Yarrowia lipolytica: one gene and its partners. The protein of the gene in region 1 purifies or fractionates together with the protein of each later gene. This does not show direct contact. Links are inferred from orthologs where the notes say so. Each region holds a gene or a part of one and is shown in the gene's direction. Other genes may lie near its edges.

The links.
Region 2: the proteins of YALI1_B01644g (region 1) and YALI1_C19529g purify together in Saccharomyces cerevisiae (affinity purification with mass spectrometry; 5 studies listed by BioGRID, with this or other methods). This does not show direct contact. The link is inferred for Yarrowia lipolytica from reciprocal best matches to the Saccharomyces cerevisiae genes TAF7 and TAF2.
Region 3: the proteins of YALI1_B01644g (region 1) and YALI1_E27243g purify together in Saccharomyces cerevisiae (affinity purification with mass spectrometry; 5 studies listed by BioGRID). This does not show direct contact. The link is inferred for Yarrowia lipolytica from reciprocal best matches to the Saccharomyces cerevisiae genes TAF7 and TAF9.
Region 4: the proteins of YALI1_B01644g (region 1) and YALI1_B23373g purify together in Saccharomyces cerevisiae (affinity purification with mass spectrometry; 4 studies listed by BioGRID). This does not show direct contact. The link is inferred for Yarrowia lipolytica from reciprocal best matches to the Saccharomyces cerevisiae genes TAF7 and TAF14.

What each region holds. Positions count from the first base shown.
Region 1 is NC_090771.1:162,037-167,223, forward strand, and holds YALI1_B01644g (uncharacterized protein), read left to right. Parts: upstream 1-2,412; coding exon 2,413-3,906; downstream 3,907-5,187. Other genes in the region: YALI1_B01628g (uncharacterized protein), read right to left, coding at 1-773.
Region 2 is NC_090772.1:1,950,785-1,958,328, forward strand, and holds YALI1_C19529g (uncharacterized protein), read left to right. Parts: upstream 1-2,190; coding exon 2,191-5,985; downstream 5,986-7,544. Other genes in the region: YALI1_C19500g (uncharacterized protein), read right to left, coding at 39-82; YALI1_C19510g (uncharacterized protein), read left to right, coding at 228-1,628. UniProt on the Saccharomyces cerevisiae protein: Functions as a component of the DNA-binding general transcription factor complex TFIID. Binding of TFIID to a promoter (with or without TATA element) is the initial step in pre-initiation complex (PIC) formation.
Region 3 is NC_090774.1:2,722,197-2,726,544, reverse strand, and holds YALI1_E27243g (uncharacterized protein), read left to right. Parts: upstream 1-2,204; coding exon 2,205-2,765; downstream 2,766-4,348. Other genes in the region: YALI1_E27273g (uncharacterized protein), read left to right, coding at 1-447; YALI1_E27249g (uncharacterized protein), read right to left, coding at 913-1,599; YALI1_E27229g (uncharacterized protein), read right to left, coding at 3,085-3,486, 3,554-3,607; YALI1_E27218g (uncharacterized protein), read right to left, coding at 4,101-4,348. UniProt on the Saccharomyces cerevisiae protein: Functions as a component of both the DNA-binding general transcription initiation factor complex TFIID and the transcription coactivator SAGA complex.
Region 4 is NC_090771.1:2,335,838-2,340,535, reverse strand, and holds YALI1_B23373g (uncharacterized protein), read left to right. Parts: upstream 1-3,259; coding exon 3,260-4,012; downstream 4,013-4,698. Other genes in the region: YALI1_B23385g (uncharacterized protein), read left to right, coding at 2,061-2,777. UniProt on the Saccharomyces cerevisiae protein: Functions as a component of the DNA-binding general transcription factor complex TFIID, the RNA polymerase II associated general transcription factor complex TFIIF, and the chromatin-remodeling complex SWI/SNF.

The sequences.
Region 1 (5,187 bases):
AGGCACTGGATGTTTTCGAGGTCAAACTCGGTGATTTCCGTACCCATGGAGACCTCGGCGGCAACCTTGAGGGCGGCCTCAACCTCCTCGGGGAGCACCTCAGACAGATCGGTCTCGGAGGCGTTGGATCGGTAGCCCATGGTCTTGATGACTCGGGCGTAGGCAATGTTGTCGGCGACAATCTTGGCCATCTCGGGGAAGTGCCAGCCGTACCACTCCTTGATTCGCATGGCGTATGTGTTGAGCTCCTTGTCCAGATCATCTAGTAATGCGATGGCCTGCACAATCATGGTGTCGACCTTGTCGGGGGAGAACTTGAGCTTGTGTCGTCCCAGCGAATGGGCCAGACCCAGGCTCATGGTGGCCAGGTCCTTCTCGGTGAGGCCGGGCAGCAGAGAGGGCAGGTTTTCTCGGATGGCTCGGAAGAGATCGAGCGAGGCGGACTCGGCAACCACGTCAAATGGCAGATCCAGCTTGTTGATGGCGTTGCCCAGCTTGGGGTCGGCCACCACCAGAGCAGACTTCTTCTCGTCCTTGAACTCGTTGAGCAAAGCAGCGAGCTTGTCGGAGACCCGGCCATCCACAATGGCGTTGACCTCCTCCAGAGCAGAGGCGGCAGAGTCAAACTTGGAGAAGCCCTTGACCTTGAACTGCGAGGTCACCAGCTCGGGGGTCGACAGCTCCTCGAGAATCGACTCCGACTTGTAGATCTTCTTGTCCTTGGCCTTAAGCACGGCGTAGCCGGCAGACGTTTCCGTCAGAATAAATGTCATGGTGTCGTGTGTGGGCGGTGGTGACGTAGATGACAAGTGCGGTTGTCAAGTGTAGTCAGTGGAGATGGATGGGAAAAAAATTTGGGACGACTAAATTTTTTCCAAAGTTTATTTTAGGGTTAGGGCCCAGGCGAGACAAGCCCAGATGAGAGTGTAGCGAATGTCTGGGCGAGTCTGAGCGGGGAAACATCTGAACTGATACATGTGGTATTTTCTGACCATTTCCCCATTTTCCCATTTTCCATTCTCATTTTGCCATCTTTCATTTTTTCCATATTTTCTCCAATTTTTCCAATTTTTCCAATTGTCTTTTTTTCTTTTATCCATTTTCCATTTTTCCATTTTCCATGTCCCATCGTTTCCACAGTGAAAATTCTTCTCCTAATTTTGCTGTGATTCAGGAGGCTTGAAATGGGGTTTTTTTTAGGGAAATGATTTATTGATTTGAGATTTGATTTTATCTGATTTATTTTGATTTTCAGATTTTCCGGTCCCAATTTTCCCATTTTATTTCAGATTTTCCGGTCCCAATTTTCCAAAAAAATTCCCACGCTACACCACATCTAAATACGGTCGAATCTTCCTAGACGGCTCCATATTTCCACTAATTTCACAATAAAGTAGGTACATTGTGCGATTTTCTTTTCTTCCTTTTCTCTTTTTTTATCCCATTTTTTTGTATATATTTGTATATATTTTTATATTTTTTTTCATTTATTTATTTAATTTCTAGTTATTTTTTATTTATTTTAATTCATTTGCTGAACCGCTCTTCCGATCTGCATATCACTGCAGAAAGTGATATCGATAAAAAAATAGTCAGATATACTCAAGTGGAGCCAAACGGAAACAGGATCGACGGGATTGAATGATCACGTGATGAGAACAATGGGTACTTTCAGGGTGGTCACGTGATCAGAGTCTTGGTCGGCGCGGTGGGGGTGACCTTGACTGACCTGGGGGGGGGGAATGTCTGATGGGCTGTCGCTGACTAAGGTGATAATAGGGCAGAATTCGTAATGCAGAATTTGTAGATTAGGAGATTCTTGGATGCTCACGGTGATGAGGTACTCGTATTGTAGGTACTCGTAGATATGTCTTACCGAAAACAAGTGGACGAGATCACCTTTTGACGAAAGAGACACTCTTTTGGCGATTCCAGAGACTCTGTTTGGCTTCCCACGACTTCTGATGTATACACTGACTCTCATCTTGAAGCTCCAACATTGCTCAGATTTGAATGGTTGAAGTTGCAGTTTGTTAATGGGGTTGTTTTAAATAGTATGCTCCATTCAATATTTCTCATTTGTTCTTTGATTGTGTTGAAAAACATGAAAACTATCTGGAAAGGGTTTGGTAACAGTAGCTAACCAAGTTTCAACAAATGACACCAGAATGCTAACCAATTTTCAACAAATGTCAACAAGTAAGATTTCAGATAAGTTCGTCTCCCGCCGACCGTCCACCCGAAATATTAATACCATTGTGGAGCTGTGATTGAGGAGATTCCAAATATTTTATTTTCGACACGATTTCATTGACCTACCGAGAACTGGAGGGCCCGTCTGGTTCTAAATAAACTTTCTGCACTTACTCCAGACACTTGTCACCACTTTTAGCCACTCTCTCCACTTGACCAATGATCAAAATCAAGCTGAAGCCCGAAAAACGGTCGCCGGAGGCATCGCCGGAGAAGCGGCGGACCAAGAAGCGCAAAACGGATGAGGAAGGGGCCAAACCGAGCACTCCGTCGCTCAGCATCAAGTTGAAGGCGCCCAAAAAAGAGCGGGAGTCCAAGCCGCGGTTGTCCCTGAAACTGAGCAACAAAAAGAGCGAGAGCGCGGCGCCGGAAAGCAGCCGGGCGTCGACCGCGAGTGGCGGATCCACTAAAAAGAGCAAGGTGGTGCCGCGGATCCGAGTCAAGGCCGCCCGCGAACCGGGCCAGGGATACGACAGCGAAGCGCCGGACCGCGAAGACGATCCGCTGATTGAAGAGGGATTGATTTTGCGATTCCCACCAATCGGTAAAAGAGGCCGCGACGACCTGTCATATCTGCGGACGGCGGTGGAGAACCAGGATTACAGCAACATTGTGATTCGGTTCAAGGACTCGCGCAGGGCGGTGGTTTCTGTGCGGGGGCGGCATTACGCGGCGAAATTGGTGGACTTGCCGGCGATCGTCGAGGCCCAAAAGACGTTTGACCGCGGCAAAAACATGTTCAAGTGTCTGGACATTTGCCAAATGTTACTTGTCACCGAGCCCATTTCGTCCGAACACAGCATTATGGAGGCGCGGTCGATGCAATGGGACAAGAGCTCCAGCGAAAGCGCGCTGACCTGTCGCCATGGCCTGACTCCGCCGTTGTTTGACGCCAAACGTCGCCGATTCAGAAAAACCGTGTCCACAAAGGTGATTGAATCGGTGGAGCAAAAGGTGACGGACTTGCTGGATCTGGACGACGAGGCAGACTCCACATCATATGAGCTTGTCGATGGACGCACCCTGGCGTCCTTGTATGGAGCCGGTGGGGTTGCGGGCTCGCAATCTGTGTCTACCACTGTTTCTGCCGCCGCCACTCCTCCTCCGCGGTTTGCCATGGTCGACGAGGGAGAAATGGACGTGGATTTGCTCGATAAAGAGCTGGAGCGGGCCCTGGAGGACCAAGGCTCGGATGAGGGCGAAGAAATCGAGGCCGATGATGCGTCCGAGTCCGAAGATGAGGGAGAAGGCGCAGGTGAGTCGGACAACTCGGACGAAGAGGAATTGCCCCGAGCGTCGGCCGGAATGGACGATGACGACGACGGTGAAGAGGGAGGACACGCCAAGGTGCTGGTCGACACGATTGCAGATCTGGAGGCGACCATCAAAAAGCAGCAGGACGACGCCGACCGCACCGCCAACGCCATGCTCAAGGAGCGGTTCAACCAGCGAATCTCCAAGCTCAAACATGAGCTGGAGGTCAAGAAGAAACAGCTCAAGGCAAAGAATACCATCAAGGAGAAGAAGAAGGAGATCGATAAGAAGGAAAAGAAGGAGGAGAAGGAGGAGAGTGAGGACAAGGTGGAAAAGGGCGAGGTCAAGGACAAGGGTGTGGGCAGTGACGACGATATGGATTTGGATGATTTGTTTTAGCCGAGCTCGGCAGGGTGGGAGTTGATATGGAGAAAATCCAGACCCGAATCTATTCCGTTCCACACCAACGACAAAGTCCGATGGGTCCGCTCGTGGTCCGTTCACCAGAGGAGTCGACCTGTGAACTTCAGTCATCTCTCTACACTGCTTCGATATGCCACGGGACCTCCACCGTATGTCGTCTAACAACGGTCTGCATCGGTCTAATGAAATACAATAATTTATTCTGGTTCTGTACGAGTAGTGGAGGGTGTGTGCATGTTGTCATATGACTGGCATAGTTGTCCACGTGTTCAGTTTTCACGTGACCGGAGCACAAGATCGAGTAGTTGGTCACGTGTCCAACTTCCGCGTCTCACGTGACGACACTATGATACTTTGGTTCTGTCTGCATGAGATTCATTGACTTGGAGGTGACTTCATTCTTCCAGAGCTACATACGGTCCGTCCCCTGAAAAGAAGTGCACAACCCAGCCAATAATAAACCTATCGACGGTTAACAACAAAACAATTGTGTTCACCTGAACAAGAGCTCTTCAACGATATAATTTTTACTAATGTTCTGATTATGTAACCGTCACAAATGAGCAGTCTTGTGCAGAAGAAAGGCTTCTGTATATGGCACCTAAACAGACAATGTATATGAACATTGGGATTTAATAAACGACCCCGAAAGACATAAAAGCAGAATAAAACCACAATAATCGCCTGAAAAAAAGGCTTTGGAACACTTTGGAACACCTTGGAACCGTTTGGAACCCTTCTGACACCCCATTCAGGCTTCAGTACAATTTTCAGAATTTTCACGGACATTCCACTTTAATCTGGCCGACGAGCGTTTGTGTCTCCAACTTTTGTAATACCAGCACTGGAGGGATAAAAAGTAGTTTACTAAAACCGTGTCGTTTCGATGATTAATTTGGTACTAATTCTGACAAAATTGGGTACAATTAGAAAATAGGACAGATAGAAGTGTGCTCACACCGGAAGACATGGCAAGCTTGAGAAGAGAAGCGGTCACGCAATGTGGTCAAGCGACTATAATCACTTGCAGATGCTCTAATCACGTGCAGATGATCTAATCACGTGTGGATACTCCAATCATGTGACTGAGAAAGGGAGGAAGGAAGGAAGGGCAGGGAATTTTGGGAGACTGGAAGGGGGTTTTGGGAGCCGTATCTGGAACAACAAAGGGTAACGACTTTGACTTGGTCACGTGACCAGTTCTTCATAGCCAGTATAGAACTTTTGGAGACGTTGTCAGCGCTGTTTGGAGTTGGG
Region 2 (7,544 bases), on another chromosome or scaffold:
CTATCTGTGTCACGTCGCCGGTCGCGTGGAGTACTCACTAAATATCGTTGAGAAAATCGTCGTCGTCGTCGAGTCCAGACATGTTAACTATCTAGTCGCTATGTATGTGTGTGTGTGTGGTAGAGGAGAAAACCTCCCTCTGCGGTGTCACTATGCACTCTGTTTTACCCTAACCCATTCCCCCAATTGGGGAAAATATCGAAACGTCGTGTGTTCGATTCCTGTAAATGATTATGTTAAAAAAAAAGTCAAAGTCTAAAAAATATTTTGATAATGCGACTACTGATCTGAAAAAAAAAAAAAACACCACACAAACAGAAGCAATGAAGTACCTGCTGTTGCTGTCGCAAACGCACATGCAGTTTCGGCTGGCCGAACTCACCGCCCTGGCCCAGCTCGAAAATATCGCCGTTGACTTGTCGTCCCATGACGAGTCGTCTCCGTTCATGATTGTGGAGCTGGAGAACGACGAGGCTGCCAAAAAGCTGATTCGACGATCCGTGCTTGCCAAGTCCATCTACGAGCTTTGGGGCGGTCCAGCTGCGTCCATGGAGGAGCTTCACGAGCAGATCAAGACCCAGACCAGCCAACTGTGGCCCAAGTATGCCACCGACTCGTTCAAGTTTGAAATCATTGGATACCAATCTTCGCGACCCAAGGAGGAGTTTATCAAGATGGTGGAGGGGTTTTCATACATGGATTTCAAGGGAAAGATCAAAATGAAGTCGCCGGACCACGTGTTCACCATTCTGGAGGACTACCGAGTCATCGGGCAGAACCCCGAACCCGCTCCCGCGCGAATATTCTTTGGACGACACATTGCCAACTCCAACCGGAGTGCCATGGACACTTTTGATCTCAAGAAACGCAAATATATCGGCACGACGTCGTTTGACGCTGAATTGTCTCTTTTGACGTGCAATTTGGCGCATGTGAAGCGAAACGGGCTCATGTACGATCCCTTTGCCGGCACCGGATCGTTTCTGGTGGCTGCGGCAGCGTTTGGAGCTCTCACGGTGGGTTCGGACATCGATGTGCGCATGATCAGAGGCAAGGGTAAAGGATGCGATATTCCTGCCAACTTCAAACAGTACAACTCCGTTAACCGGCTTCTGGACGTTTTGGCGGTCGACTTCACCAACAACTCGTTCCGAAAGGGTCTCAAGTTCGATTCCATCGTCTGTGATCCTCCCTACGGAGTTCGGGAGGGTCTCAAAGTCCTGGGAGTGCGAGAGGAGGACGTTGAGAAGAAGAAGCATCTGGAAACGACTCTGGTGGACGGTCAGCTGGCGCATACTCGTCGAGATTACATTCCTCCAAAGAAGCCGTTTGAGTTTGGAAAGATGATGGATGCTCTGTTGAGTTTCTCGGCTGAGCGACTTGTTGAAGACGGCCGGCTCGCCTTCTGGATGCCCACCGCCAACCAGGACTACACAGACGCCGAGATTCCTCTCCATGAGGATCTAGAGCTCATCTGCAACTGTGTGCAGGACTTCAACCAGTGGTCGCGACGGTGTTTGGTGTACAGGCGACGAAAGGAGGGCGATAAGGGCGAGTTGAGAAAGACTGAAGGCGGTAAGGCTGAGGACTTTCGAGTCAAGTACTTCAAGGGGTTCAAGAATGAGTAAAGGTGTGAGAATGAGCTATATAGATGGTAATGCATGGTTATTGGAGACTGAAAATTGGTTTTATTTTCGTTATTTTGGTAATGCATGGTTATGGGTGACTTTTGGGACTGGTAATTGGTTTTATTTCCATGTTTTTTGTTTTATTTTCGTTTTATTTCGTTTTATTTTGTTTTATTTTGTTTTTTTTATTCTATAATATTTTATTAATAATCGTAATATTCCTGCTGACCGCTCTTCCGATCTATCCTTAAAGTTTAGTTAAAAAAGCTCCGTTTTAGTTGACCCAATACTTTGTAGTTACTTACACTGCTTCGCCAAAACAACACTCTCCAACTCACCCAGGACCACTCCTATCGTAAAAAGGAGAATATTGCCGGAATCTCCAACACCACCTGTCTCCACCAAACCCGTCCTCATCGCCTCTCGCCCATCCCCGACGCTTTTCCTTAGACCTCTCCCCGCTACCGCCAAACCTTATGCACCTGTAATTGCACACCATCACCATCACCAACCACAGTTGCGACGCCACTCAGTTACACACAGAAACCAACCATTCTACAGCATGTCGCGGGGATTCAATGTGGCGCACCAGAAGGTGTCGCTGGACGTGGATCTCGGGGAAAAGGTGCTGCGCGGCTCCACGGAAATCACGATTGTGCCGTCGGACCTGTCGATACGGCAGTTTCGGTTCGACTGTCGGCAGGCGCAGATCAAGTCTGTGTTGGTGAACGGCAAAAAGGCCACGTTCACACATCACGACGCCAGCGGCTACGAGGCGTTCAGCGACTCGCGCACCGTCTCGGACGTCCATCAGCACCATCTCTACCGAAAGTACATTGATCACGCCCACAAGGAGGTGTTGGAGGGAGAGCTGGAGGTGAATCTGCCGCGAGGCGTCAAGGTGAGCTATCAGGACACGTCACGGGAAACAGGGCCCGCCGCAGATGAGGAGGCCGTCGGGGTGTACGCTCCTCTGATTGTCACCATTTCGTTTGTGGTCCGGGATCCCAAGACGGGAGTCACGTTTGTCGGGGGCCATGGATCGAGGCTCAAAAAGTCGTTCTGGCATGCATACACAACCCACGCACCCATAGGAGCGGCCACCAGCCACTGGCTGCCGTGTGTGGACGGTCTGTGGTCTCGATGCACGTGGCAGTTTGAGGTGACGGTGCCCCGAACGGTGGGCAGTCTAGGAGGAGCAAGGGTCGAGGAAGAGGAGCCCGACGTCGATATGGAGGACGCAGACGACGACGAGGGTCTCGAAGGAGCCACTCCACGTGTCAAGGAAGAACTTGCCGACGAGCATGTGGTCAAAAAGGAACTCACAACAGAAACCGGGTCGCCAAAACAGACCGTTGACGACGATGATGAGGATGAGGAGATGGAGCAGGACGACAAGGAAGAGGAACTTGATCTGGAAATGGAAATCGAAATTGAGGTGGTGGGAAATGGAGCTGTGGTGGAGGAGCTGTCCCACGCCGATGCATCCAAAAAGACCATTGCTTACTCCCTCTGGAACCCCGTCTCGGCCCAGCACATTGGCTTTGCTGTGGGTCCATTTGTGGAGGCGCCTCTGCCTGATTTCAGAGACACAGACGAAGACGAGGACGGAGGAACACCAGCAGGATTCCCCATCAAGGTGTTTGCTCTTCCGGACCAGGTTTCCGACGCCTCAAACACATGTGTCTTCCTACACAAGGCCATCGAGTTTCTGACCAATGAGTATGGTTCATTCCCGTTCGACGCCATGAGCGTGGTGTTTGTGTCTGAGTATGGCAAGGCACAGATGGGCGCGTCTGGGGGTCTCTGTGTTGCCTCTGACGATTTTCTGTATCCTCCGGATGTAGTGGATCCCCTGCTTTCGTCCACAGAAGCTCTCACAGTTGCCCTGACTACCCAATGGTGTGGTGTCAACATTGTGCCACGCACCTGGAACGACACGTGGTTGACGCAAGGTCTGGCTATTTACATGGCTGCTCTGTTCATGAAGCGTCTGATGGGCAATAACGAGTACCGGTACCGGTTTAAGCGGTTGGCTGAGATGATTTGTGAGGAAGATGTGGGTCGCCCACCGCTCGCCAAGCCCCATTTTCGATTCCCTCTGTTTCCCAAGGATCTGAGCTTCATCAACCTGAAGGCTCCGGGAGTTTTGTTTATTCTGGATCGTCGAATGACCAAAATCGACAAGACGTTTGGTCTTTCTCGAGTCATTCCCCGTATCTTTCTGCAGTCTCTTTCTGGTGATCTTGTCAACAATGCTCTGGGCACAAACCACTTTTACAAGCTGTGTGAGCGAGTTTCGCACTGCAAGCTGGACGAGTTCTTTGACCAGTGGGTGTACTCGAGTGGTGTTCCTGTACTGCAGGTCACCCAGCGGTTCAACAAGAAGCGAATGTTCATTGAAATGGGTATTCGGCAGACCCAGACCGACAAGAGCGGCGAGAAGAAACCTGTGGAGGATACCTTTATTGGGGACGTTATTCGGAGTGAAGAGGGAGTGGATCATGGGGATGAGGAGGAAGGAGGTCCCAAAACGCCACTTTTTACTGGTCCCATTACAATTCGAATCCACGAGGCTGATGGTACTCCCTACGAGCATGTGGTGGATATCAAGCACATTTTTACCAAACTTGATATCCAGTACAACACAAAGTATAAGCGGCTGAAGCGGAACAAGAAAGAGGTGGAAGCTGCGGCCACTGTTACTGCAACTGCGGCGCCTCCTGCAGCTTCTGCTTCAAACAATGAGGAGGATGAGGTCGGTGTGGTCATCTCGTGTCTGGGCGATGTGCTACAGACCGATGCAGAGTTGGAAGAGTGGGAGCTCAGTGAGTGGGGCAAGGATGAGGAGATGCGCATGTCCAATGAGGCGTTTGAGTGGCTCCGAATCGACGCAGATTTCGAATGGATTTGTAAGATCCATGTCAACCAACCCGATTACATGTACGCTTCTCAGCTTCAACAGGATCGAGATGTGGTTGCCCAGTACGAATCGGTGCAGTTCTTTGCCGAGTCGCGACCCTCCAAGGTATATTCGACGATCCTGCTACGTACATTGATTGATCGGCGGTACTATTATGGAGTTCGAGTGGCAGCAGCACTTGGGTTGGTGAAGATGGCAGTTTCGGAAACGTCTTACATTGGTCAGACGCATCTGTTAAAGGCCTTTCAGAACTTGTTCTGTTTCCCCAACTCGTCTATTCCTCGATCTAACGACTTTTCGGATTTCCCCACATATTTCGTGCAAAAGGCCATTACTCGAGCCTTTTCTCAGATCAGAAATGGAGATGGCGAGTGTCCCGCAGAGATCCGGACGCTGATTCTAGACATTTTGGCCTACAATGAGAATTCAACCAACTCCATGAGTGACTCGTTCTACCTGTCTGATCTGATTACGTTTTTGGCCGATGTCTTGTGTTCGTCAGACAGCAACGACGAGTCTACTCGTGAATTTGCTGCCCGTGCAGTCAACGAGATTGATCGGTGTGGTCGCCTGGACACTTGGATTCCGTCGTACCAGAACGTGGTGACTGTGGCTGCATTGGAGGCCAAGAAGCGGCTCTTTCTCAAGGGTCTATTTTCTGCCAAGCTGCAGGATCTCATCCAGTTCACGCGTTCTGTCAACTCATCGGAGGTGCGTCTGGCAGCTTTCGAGGCTATGTTGCACATTGGTGGGCTTCGAAACCACTACATTATGCATTATGTGTTCGCCTCGGCTGCTCTGGACGACTCTGCGCGGGTGCGAAACGGCATCATCGACCTCTTCACGCGGTATCTCGGCACTTTGGCCATCAAGGGTGATATGTCTGCAGATAACCATGCCGATGACAATGACGGTATGATTGTCGATGATGGTACCCAGGCGGCGATGGAGGCGCGAAAGGTGCAGATGGCTCGAACGTCGCTTACTGGGGCTGCAGATATTCTTCGAGACATGCTCCGGCAGGACACCAGTCTCCAGACTGAGCTGTGGGACTCGCTACGAAGTCCATACCACGGTCTGGAGGCCAAGTCGCAGTTGCTAGACGTGTGTCAGGTGCTGTTTGTACCTGTGGATGCTTTCAAGGTCAAGTTGTCGACCCCCAGTCTGATCAAGTTGGGCGTAGACTATTCTTCTGGAAGTTCTTTGGCTTTGCGGGTGGAGTCCAACATTCCTGCTCCGGAGAAGACGGCCGTGTTGCCTGCCATCAAGAGCAAGCGGCTCAAGGAGCAGGCGCAGAGGTCGGAGATTGTGGTGGTATCCAAGAACAACCCAAAGGTCAAGTATTCGGTGAGGCCGGGCTTCAGGATCACGACAAATCCCGGTCCCAAAAAAAAGGAGGTCAAGCGGTTGTCGGTAAAGCTCAGTTTCAAGTAATAATGTATATTTATGATGATTGTATTGGGGGAGGGGGGAGGAGGTAGGAACAGAGAAGACGCAAGTTTGTAGGAGGAGGTGTAGTCGTTTCCACCAGTAGTACTACGACGCCTTTGCTGGAGAATGGGAGAGTACATCTGCGGTGAACTCTGCGGTGAGCTCTCGTGGTTCAGTTGACTGCTGAACACATCTTTTGGTCAAACACGTGACAATGTTGGTGGATTTCTGATGACCGGCCCGCTTCTTTTGAGTGTATATGTCTGTAGAGTAAGAAGGAGAGAATGTATATATTATTTATACGTCATGTCGTGTTTTTTTTTTTTTTTTTTTTTTTGTTTTTGTTTTTGTTTTTAAGTCTTCTTTTTTTGTATCTGTTTTTTCATAAAAGTAGTTGTTCGCCTCCAAGTCTGCGCTATGTTTTCGTTCCAGAGCACTTTGAGGTATAGACACAAATGGTACACAATCTCTATAGAGGCCAAAGATTTCAATAATGAAGTCCCTATGTGTCTAGCACCTCCATCGCGTTCTGTAAATGGATATTTAAACCTGGACTGGACATGTTCCGTATGTGCTACAAATGAGGTTTGTCATAACTCGATAAGGGGTCTATCAGTGGAGTTTGGGAGTTAAAAATATGGCATAATGAGGTCCAATAAATACAATAATCGGCTCTGTTTTTCTCTATCTCTCTTCTGGCATTCAGGAGCATCAATTCAAGATGTTTGTCTAAGTAGAATGGAACGATGGGTAATAATTCAGGCTGAAGAGTCACGTGTTCAAGCCAATTGTCCAAAGTGACAAGTGCTAGGGCTAATTATATCTTGTCTCTAAACCATTCCAATGCGTGCCCTTTGCGCTGGAACAACGGCGAATATTTTCAGTACAAACACATCGATGCAAGTAGGTACAGTATGTAGTCAAGTAAGTTGCTCTTGCTAGGGTAGCTAATGTGTAAACAGTGAATGATACAGTACTGATAGGTTGATTATCGTATCCTGCAGTAAACTGCTTTACGAGTAGAATGACTGACCGTCCCTGGTCTGGACCGTAAGCATTATCCCGGAAGCCAGTAGCGTAGCGTAGCAGTAGAGTCCGAGACGAGGAACTTGGGAATGGTAATTGATCATTTGATCACTGTAGCACTTTATACACCTTTTGAAAGGTCTTTGTTGATCCTCTGGTGGTGATTGATGGTAATTACTCTCTCTCAGAGGGAAAATGGAGAACACTATTAGGAGCTCCGGACAAATTGGAATCGTAATCCAAGGCTTGTGTCCATGGCACTGTCAATGGTTGTTTCTAGTGATTCGCTAACTCTTGGCAGTTACTCAATGCTTTCAATGGTGTCTAGACGTATTCATGACAATTTTCACGTCTCTTCGAGCTTCACGATGATGATGAAGATGTCTTGGGTATCGTCCAACCAAGGCACGAAGAAGCTGACCGACAACCGTGATGAAAGAGCTGACGAGGAAACGAGAAAGCTTGGAAAGAAGAACTTTCGAGTCTTCACGAGAAAAGGGAGGGACTGTTTGACGTTGTGGACTTGTGAAGGGAGC
Region 3 (4,348 bases), on another chromosome or scaffold:
GAGTTTCTGGAAAGCACCCAGTACCGGTCTGCCGTGCCCACTGCCGCATACAGATACACGTTTGCGCCTACGTCCAAGACGGTCGGAAACGTGTTTGACGTGGGCTGGAAACGCAACTTCCAGCTCGTCATGGGCGACAAGTGGTGGATGTGGCTGCTGCCTATCCAGCCCAGTGAAGCGGCCCGGGGCAACGGTACCCAGTTCCCCCTTAATAAACAGGTGCTGCAAAAGATCAGAGAGGCCGCGGCTAAGGAAGTCCAAATCAGAGACCAGAACCAGGCCTACATCAAGCAGCAGCGTCAGCAACAGCAAAAACGCACACAGTACGACCTTCCTCAACATCTCCAGCCTCCTCCTCAGGAGCACTATGAGTATGACGACGAGGCCCAAGACTCTGGAGACGACATTCCATTGATCAACATGGTCAATAAGAACAACACGAAATGAGAATAAGAGGTAGCCGACGAATGAATCGGGGGCCGACAAATTCTTGGAAGCTATCTCTCCCCTCCAGCATATAGACATTGCATTTAACCTGATATATTATACCCCATTCAGACAAAGATGCATATTCAGGCAGATCTTGGACAGTATACAGATACTATGCGGGTAAATTACTGTACCCTTTAATACCATACAAGTACGTAGATGTACCACTCAATTGTGTACATACAGCTACAGTATGTACTCGTTCTTGTACTATCACTTGAACATATTCTCGATTACATTACTCTACTCAGCTCGCTGCTTGATAGCATTAGACCCTCGGGCCTTGATGGCAATCACACAAGCGGCGGTGAAGAGAAAAACAAAAAAGCAGCTGGCGTTGTGCTTCTCCCGCTGGTACACGGCCTGGGTACGGTCCCGCAGGTTATCATAGATTTCAATGGCCTTCTTTTTGGAGCCATGTAGTCAGAGCTCATCCTTGTCGGACTTGCCCTTCTTCTTGACGTCCTTCTTGGGCTCCTTGGCGTCCTCCTTGGCAGGCTCAGCCTCCTTGGTCTCGGACTTCTCCACGGGGATCTCTCCGGCATCAGCAATGGTGATGTCGACCTTGGGGTTGGATCGAGCGCCGGTGGGGGCGTTCTCAATGGCGTCGACAATGTCCTGGCCCTCGAGAACCTCGCCAAAGACAACGTGCTTGCCGTCGAGCCAGCTGGTGACCACGGTGGTGATGAAGAACTGGGAGCCGTTGGTGTCTCGGCCGGCGTTGGCCATGGACAGCTTGTAAGGCTTGGTGTGCTTGAGCTGGAAGTTCTCGTCGGGGAACTTTCGGCCGTAGATGGACTCGCCTCCAGTGCCGTCTCCTCGGGTGAAGTCTCCGCCCTGGATCATGAAGTTCTTGATGACTCGGTGGAACTTGGAGCCCTTGTAGCCCTTGCCGGTCTCGCCGGTGCACAGAGCTCGGAAGTTCTCCACGGTCTTGGGGACCACGTCTCCGTACAGACCCATGACGATCTTTCCGAGCGATTCCTCGCCCTGCTTGATGTCAAAGTAGACCTTGTGGGTGATTTCGGCGTCGGGCTCGGCCTGTGCAGGCTGGACAAAGAAGGCCAGAAGAGCCACGAGCAGAACTCCAATGGTGGCAAACAGTTTCATGGTGGATAGTATCGTGTGCTGTTGTGCTGTGTGGTGGCAGTAACAGGGAAGGAGGCGTGCTTAAGTAGTCGTACTGTTGGGACCGTGTTGGTGCTACGTGGAAGAGCATAATGTTAAACAGGACCAATATATGTCACGTTGGAACTGGTGGGCGCAGGGAGATGGGCGCGAGGGGGAGGTCGCGGGGACGTCACGAGCGCGCTCAATTGGTGCAATTGGCCTCGTTGACCTAGTCATAACCAGTTGGTGACTGTATTATTCATGTATCCACGTTCTTGGGTGGGATTGCAGTGTATGTGGGGAGCCAAGCACGTCATAACATATGCCTGGGATCTGATTTTTTGAAAGAGGTGACAACATATCCCTCAGATGGTACACAACTACTTCCTTTTGGCATCTTTCTCTTTTTTAAAAGACCTCAACTGCGACTTTTATAAGAGTTATGTCAGGTCCCTGATTCACCAGCACCTCCCCACTACCCACCACTCATAACCTGAACCTAATAATGCACGATCCAACATGCAACTCTATCAGAAGGACAGAAAGATTCACACTCATAACCGTCTACCAGAAAGACACACAAAAAAACACACACAGACACACACATGGAATCGGGTGATCTTCCAAACGCAGCCACACCGCGAGACGTGCGTCTGCTGCATCTGATTCTGGCCTCCATGGGCGTCACCTCGTACCAGGAACGGGTGCCTCTTCAACTCATGGACTTTGCCTACAGATATACACAAGGCGTGTTGCACGATGCACTGCTGTACTCGGACCATGCTGCGGCCGCCAACAACTCTCACAACGACAAGACGGGCCCTGTTTCCGGCGGATCTGGCGGAAATGCCAACGCAGCAGCAGCAGCAGTTTCCACGTCGGCTCTGTCAGTGGAAGACGTGCGACTGGCTATTGCTGCTCGAGTCAACTACCAGTTCAAGCCAGCACCACCCAAAGAACTGCTTCTGGAGATGGCACAGGAACGTAACCGACGAGCTCTGCCACAGGTACAGCCTGGCTACGGCTTGAGACTGCCCCCGGAGAAGTACTGTCTCACTGCCAAGGAGTGGGATTTGGACGAGGAGGAAGAAGAGACTGTTGAGGGAGCTGAAGAGACCAATAACAACAGCAGCAATGAGGATAAGGAAATGAAGGATGCGGTCTAATTAGGTGTATTTTTATTGATTATTGAACTCCGCCGGAGTAAAGGTTGGAATTTCATGGATATTTGACGAGAGGTGTTCGTAGTGCTTCAAGGGAGAGCAAGAGATGCATCAGAAACCATTGAAAGACTGATTCCGAGACACAAACTACACTGCTGTACACATAAATGCATTCCACAGCCGTACGCTTCATTGTACAACATGATACCACGAGTACAATTAGTTACTTGTACTGAAAAAGCTATACAAGACCATTCGCTACGCTCCAATTCTTGAGGTCAACAACAACAATATAAATACACTATGCTAGTCTCGCCGTTGGTTACGACTGAATCTCGGAAAAGTTCTGCACCAGTTTTCCCACCGGCTTGACGTTGGACTCCTTGGCAACCAGCTCCACAAACTTGCCGACATGCTTGGAAACCACCTGTTTGTCCTTTTCGCTCAGGTTGGCCTTGCTCACGTGAGAAGCATCGCTAGCAAGCACCACAATGCCTGTTTCGGGGTCCAGCTGGCGCTTGAAGTCGGAGGCACTTCGTTTTTGGGTGATGCCGTTCGGGGATTCGACCTGGGCCACCGCGCCGACGTCGATGAGATTCGAGCCGGTGCTCGTCACAATCTGATGCAGGTTAGACATGCGTTTCTGGCGGTCCGAAGGGTCCACTGCATTATCGTCTGTGGTGTCGATTGTGTTGTTTCCAAGAAGAGGTTCATTTTCGGAGATCTGGGTTAGTAATCTGCATAGAGAGAGTGTGTGGGGAAAAGATGCCGGCAATCAAATGAATACTCACACCAGGAGGGTCTTCCTCAACGGGCCCTCTTAAGCAAGACAGCAAGACACCCATTTGCTGTGTGTTGTTAGTAAGATGGTGATGGAGATATGAAAGTGTGGAGATGCATGTTTGAACTTAGATGAATATCATAACAAGAAAGGAGAGTAGTTACTGGGATGTAATGGATATGTCGGGAAGGTGATGAATATGAAATATACCATGAAATTACTGGAGAAATTGATTTTGATACTCATTTTTGTAATTTATTGCATATTTACCAACTTAAACACTTTTGTTAATAATTACTTAACCCCCCAAGTAATACATCAAAGCCCATGTACTCCCAACCCTAACCCCCAAACAAGGTTCTGGCCAACCAAACGAAGGGTAAAATCTCAAGCTCTGTAGTAATAGCGTCAAGATCACGGTTCAGCTCGGAGGCTCAGAACACAACCCCAAAAATGCGATACACACAGCTGCTGCGAAACGTCTCCAAGGGAGTCCAGAAGAGTGGCCAGAGCGTCCTCGTTCAGATGCGAGAGGGAAGTGAGTATCTATGTGGTTTTTAAACCTGACTGTGCACTACACAACTACGTCTGATGTCACCACGACAGGAGACGAATGTCTTGTCTATGCCACTAACAAAGCTCCTATCGGTCTGACCGGTATCTACCAGCATCCCAACCCCCGACCGGCACTGATTGCCCTGTACGAGGCCACCCTCAAGGAGCTGCAAGACAAGCACCCCAAGGACTCTGTCTACCGACAGTCCATCGAGAACCTGACTGCTCACCGAAAGCAGATTGTGGAGGA
Region 4 (4,698 bases), about 2.2 Mb from region 1:
AGTCTAGTTGTTTCGATTCAATGTCAACCAGAAACATTCTTGAACCTGAAGTTGTACAAAATGGTCATTCTTCCGATTCAGGGCCTTCATGACTTGTTTCTGCTGTAATATGTCGAGATGTATCTGCGCCCTATACAGTATATTGTGACAGAAAGGAGGAATACACTTGTAAACAGTCTCAAGAAGTTCTCAAAAGCTCTGGGGATGAGTTCAGGCGATGTTCCAGGCGTAGATGGACTTGTTATTTGGGTCTGGAGCAATTGTTGAGAAATGTTGGTACCTGCGAAGACATGGGTCCCCACAGGTTGTTTTGATGGAAGTGTCTGTTTCTCAAGCACCTCTTGGCCTGGCCTTTAACCACAATTGATTGTGCAAAAAGTCTCTAGCTCGTCGGGGGTGTCTGAACGGTTAGAAATGTCCTCACTTCCTGGGTTGGCGCTATCTGAGCCGAACGTGAAGCTACCATTGAGGCATATATGGTAGCTGATAAAGTGTCCAGGGCTAAATTGTGGGTTAGCGCAACGCTTACTGGCCATGTTTGAGTATAGTATGTACATAATGAGAAGGATGTTAGAAGCTGAAAAGTGTTATTGACCTGGTTGGTCAGCCCCCTAGCTTTTTGAAGAGTTAACCACTTGGAACGTTGACACATTCGCAGATTAAGTACAAGTGGGAAGTTTCACCGCTATAGAAAGAGTAGCAGCTTCCACCAGCTGCCAGGGAAGTCCAAGCACGTCATCTAAACATCTGCCTTACTTAGTGATCTGCAGAAATCAATGACAGCAACAGTAATGACAGGACACATACAATTTACTTGAGTCTGTCACGCGTCGTCCATAGCTTTCCTCTCTGACGTAGTACATCTTTACTCGTCACTGAGATATTCGCATAATCAGTGCATAATCCATGTACAGTACTACTTTGTATAATCAGAATGATGGATTGTAGCTATGATGTATAGGATTGGTGTATTAGTCAAGTGATTGCGTATTGAATTCATTGTAGGAATGATTTAAATATATTTATTCTTTAGAATCTTGATGTCGGATGATAAGAAGTTGGACTTGTACTTCTACAAGATTTTTTTGTATGCGTCTCCCATTTGTCTCTCTCTCTCGTACTTGTACAACTAGGCTCAAATTAAGATAGAAGCACTTGTAAGGGCGTGAATGGGCTCTCAAACAATTCTGCATTACGTGATATCTTGTCAAAATGCTCTCTCAAGCACTATCTGGTTTTTTTAATTTTTTTTATGTATTATATTTATTACTTTTTTAATTTTTTTTATTCAAATGGGTTCATTACATTTTTTTATTCTAATGATTCATTGCAGCTGACAAATCAAAACCAGTCTCCAGTGAGTCCAACCACTGATGGAGAAACAAGCCGCCTTCGTGGCCAAGTGGTAAGGCGCAGCACTAGTAATGCTGAGATCATCAGTTCAAATCTGGTCGAAGGCATTTTTTTCCTTAAAGCGAGGATTATACGAGCTGTTTGTGATGGGTTTTCATCAGTGTCCCAGAAACCACCTTTTTGTGATTGTGTGTATAGTCGAGTTGAAATTTTGATGCACCTATGTTCCAACAGGTCTCAAATTTACCACTACAGTAGCTAGCTAATTGTGTTTCAATACTGTTACAATGTTCCTCTGGTGACACTGTTGTGCTACAGTATGTACAGTATGTCGTGTTCAACACCTATAACCTTGAACACAGTTTGCGCTCCTGTCCTCTTAACCATCACTCAACTTGCTCACCCACACACCTCTCTGATAATATCCAAATACCACAGTATTGCTTTACACGATACTCGCTTGATACCTACTGTACTGACGTGTATACTTGGACACAGAAACTTGCTCCACTGGTCATCTTTTGCTGTTACCACTTGCAGACAGTGATACCTACATCGAAACCGCGATACCTGACCGTCACCGATACACTCCACTGACACACCATTGATACACACCGTTGATACAAGGACTCATACCTCACCACTGATATACAGATATAAACATTTGGCACACACTTCTCGCACCCACCCGATAGCCCCACCTCAAGATGAATCTACTTACCATCTTAATCTCGACACTGCGCGTCGTGTCAGTTCTGGCACGACCCATCTACTCGACTCCAGTCCACGTGTCCACTGGACCTATCCTTTCGCGACGCTCGGAATCGACCGACGAGAGCTACGACCAGTGGTATCAGAGTCTGAGTGAGCGTCGACACAAGCTGAATATGGCATCGAAGGAAATCCAGGCAAAGCAGCACAAGGAGTCTGCTAACCGCATCAAACACAGCACTTCGCAGAACTTTGACCTGGAGTACGAACCCGACTGGCTGGATGGTCTGGTGATTCAAACAAAGGGAATGAAGGTGGGAAAACACTCTTACAAGGTGCCCCACAATCGTGGGATCGATGCGCGACGAGGAGTGCCCAACAAACAGATATTTGATGCCATCAACGAGCCCGAAGACGACGCCAATTACTTTTGGGATCCCAATTGCCCGCGGTACAACCAGACGGCTCAGGATAAGATTCCCAACTACCCTCGCCCAGGAGTCATTGATCCTCCTACTCGTTCACCTGCTCGCGGAGATGTGGAAGCCAACAACAAGAACGATAACGGCCGAACTGGTCAGCGTGGCAGTTCGGATGACAGAGGCAAGAAAGGTACGAAACCTGTCCAGTTCTCATCTGATGCAGGCCTAAGTTTCAGGGCTAGTAGCAACAGTCTTTTTATTGCGGTGGTATACTTGATATGTCTCCTGTAGTGTAAAGCGGTGTTTTCAGCTGATGATGTTTTATAAGCTGTTTATGTTAGCAGGTTACTGTTTATGTAATTAAGGGATGTACACTATAGAATTGTAGATGATCATATCTGATTAACCGGACGGCGTATGATATATATATTCGATCACCTCAAAGCTAAGCACAGCTTGATGATTCATTTGATTGCGATTACAATATATTGCATCACCATATGGCTATGACCCAATTATTGCATATTTTAAATTAACTCAACCACAAATCGAACCCCAAACCTTGGCAAGTATATGGAGAGATGCAAAATCGAACTGACAACCGGGGCTAAATTAGCCTGCTGCATTCTCGAGGCTGGCGCGTCACACACAGAACGATACAAGACTAGACAGCGGACTATTGATACAATGGCGCCCCCTACAGTGAGTACGAAGTTGAAAGAGGGAGCCTTGAGGCTGGAGGAGGATGCAGAATTGAAATATTGTGAGCCTCGATGTTTCAATATGATGTCTCCATGCTAACCCAGGTCCAACGACAAATAAAAATCACAACCACCCAGGAGGTGCTAGACGACGTGCCTCCGCAGCAGGAAGGATTTCCCATGCGAAAGTGGGCCATCGAGATCTCGATGCTCAACGACAAAGGTGAGGAGGTGCCCGCCACGATGTTCGATGAGGTTATCTACCAGCTGCACCCCACGTTCGTCAACCCCAACCGAACGTTCAAGAAGCCTCCGTTTCGAATCGAGGAGCAAGGATGGGGAGAGTTCGATCTCAAGATTGTGTTCGTGCCAGCTGACAAGGGCCCCAAGCAGTCGGTCACTCACGACCTCAACTTCCAAAAGTCCAAGTACGAGGTGATTCACAACCTAAAGTTCCCTACCAATCGGCCTGGTCTGGCCAAGCTGTTGGCCGAAACGGGCCCCGTGCCTGGATACTCTGCGCAGGCGGCCTCTCCGGCACCAGACAAGCGACGGGCCGAGGAGGACGACTCCAAGCTCAAGAAGAAGAGCAAAGTGCTGGAAAAGTCCAGCGTGGACCTGGAGCGGCTTGCTGCCGGCCTCCAGAGACTCAAGGAGGACGATCTCATCCGAGTGCTGCAGATGGTCACGGACAACAAGACTTCTGACATGGCCATCAACAACAACGTCGACGAGGGTGAATTCCACATGGACCTGTTCACCTTCCCCGACAATCTGCTCAAGAGTCTGTGGGATTTCACAAAGCGACGATTCCCCGATGTTTAAGCGGACTGGAGAGTGAGGAGGTACCCTTAGATCCGTCGGAAATCCCGGTTCTTTGTATATTAGTATATTAGTAAGATGTTATTGATTTACGTGTGGAGATGGGCTACAGTAATGTGCAAACAGCCCCAGTAGAACTAAGTAAAACCAGGAAAGTGTACCTTTAGTGAAGAGTGAAAAATCAATACCAGAGAGCTACTTGTACAAGTATTCACCTCACGCTTAGAGAGATTAACGTAGCTCAAGGTACTCGTTAGCTAGCTATAGCTAGGGATGTGGCGTGACTCATTAAAGACCAGTACTACAGTAACTGCGGCTAGTAGCAAGTAGTAGAAGAGGTAAGTACCGTGCGTAATGTACGAGTACAGTACCGGTACTGTACCGCATTGTGTTTTTATCCACACAGTCAGGTGGATGTAGAATTATAAGTACTGTAATATGTAGTTCATCTCACCATCTCTTTCTTATACAGTCCTAAATGAGCACCAGCTACCTCCTTCCACATTCTCGGCAATACATACAGAATATATTATCTCGTCTTCACTAGCAACTAGTGGTACCGTATATCTAGTGCGTACGGTAGTTAGCACATCGTTTCTGTTGACATCTCCTTGAGGCATGACTCAGTGATAGCTCCGTAAATGAACAACATTGCATTGGACAGTCGGAGCATTATTATAACTGCTCAA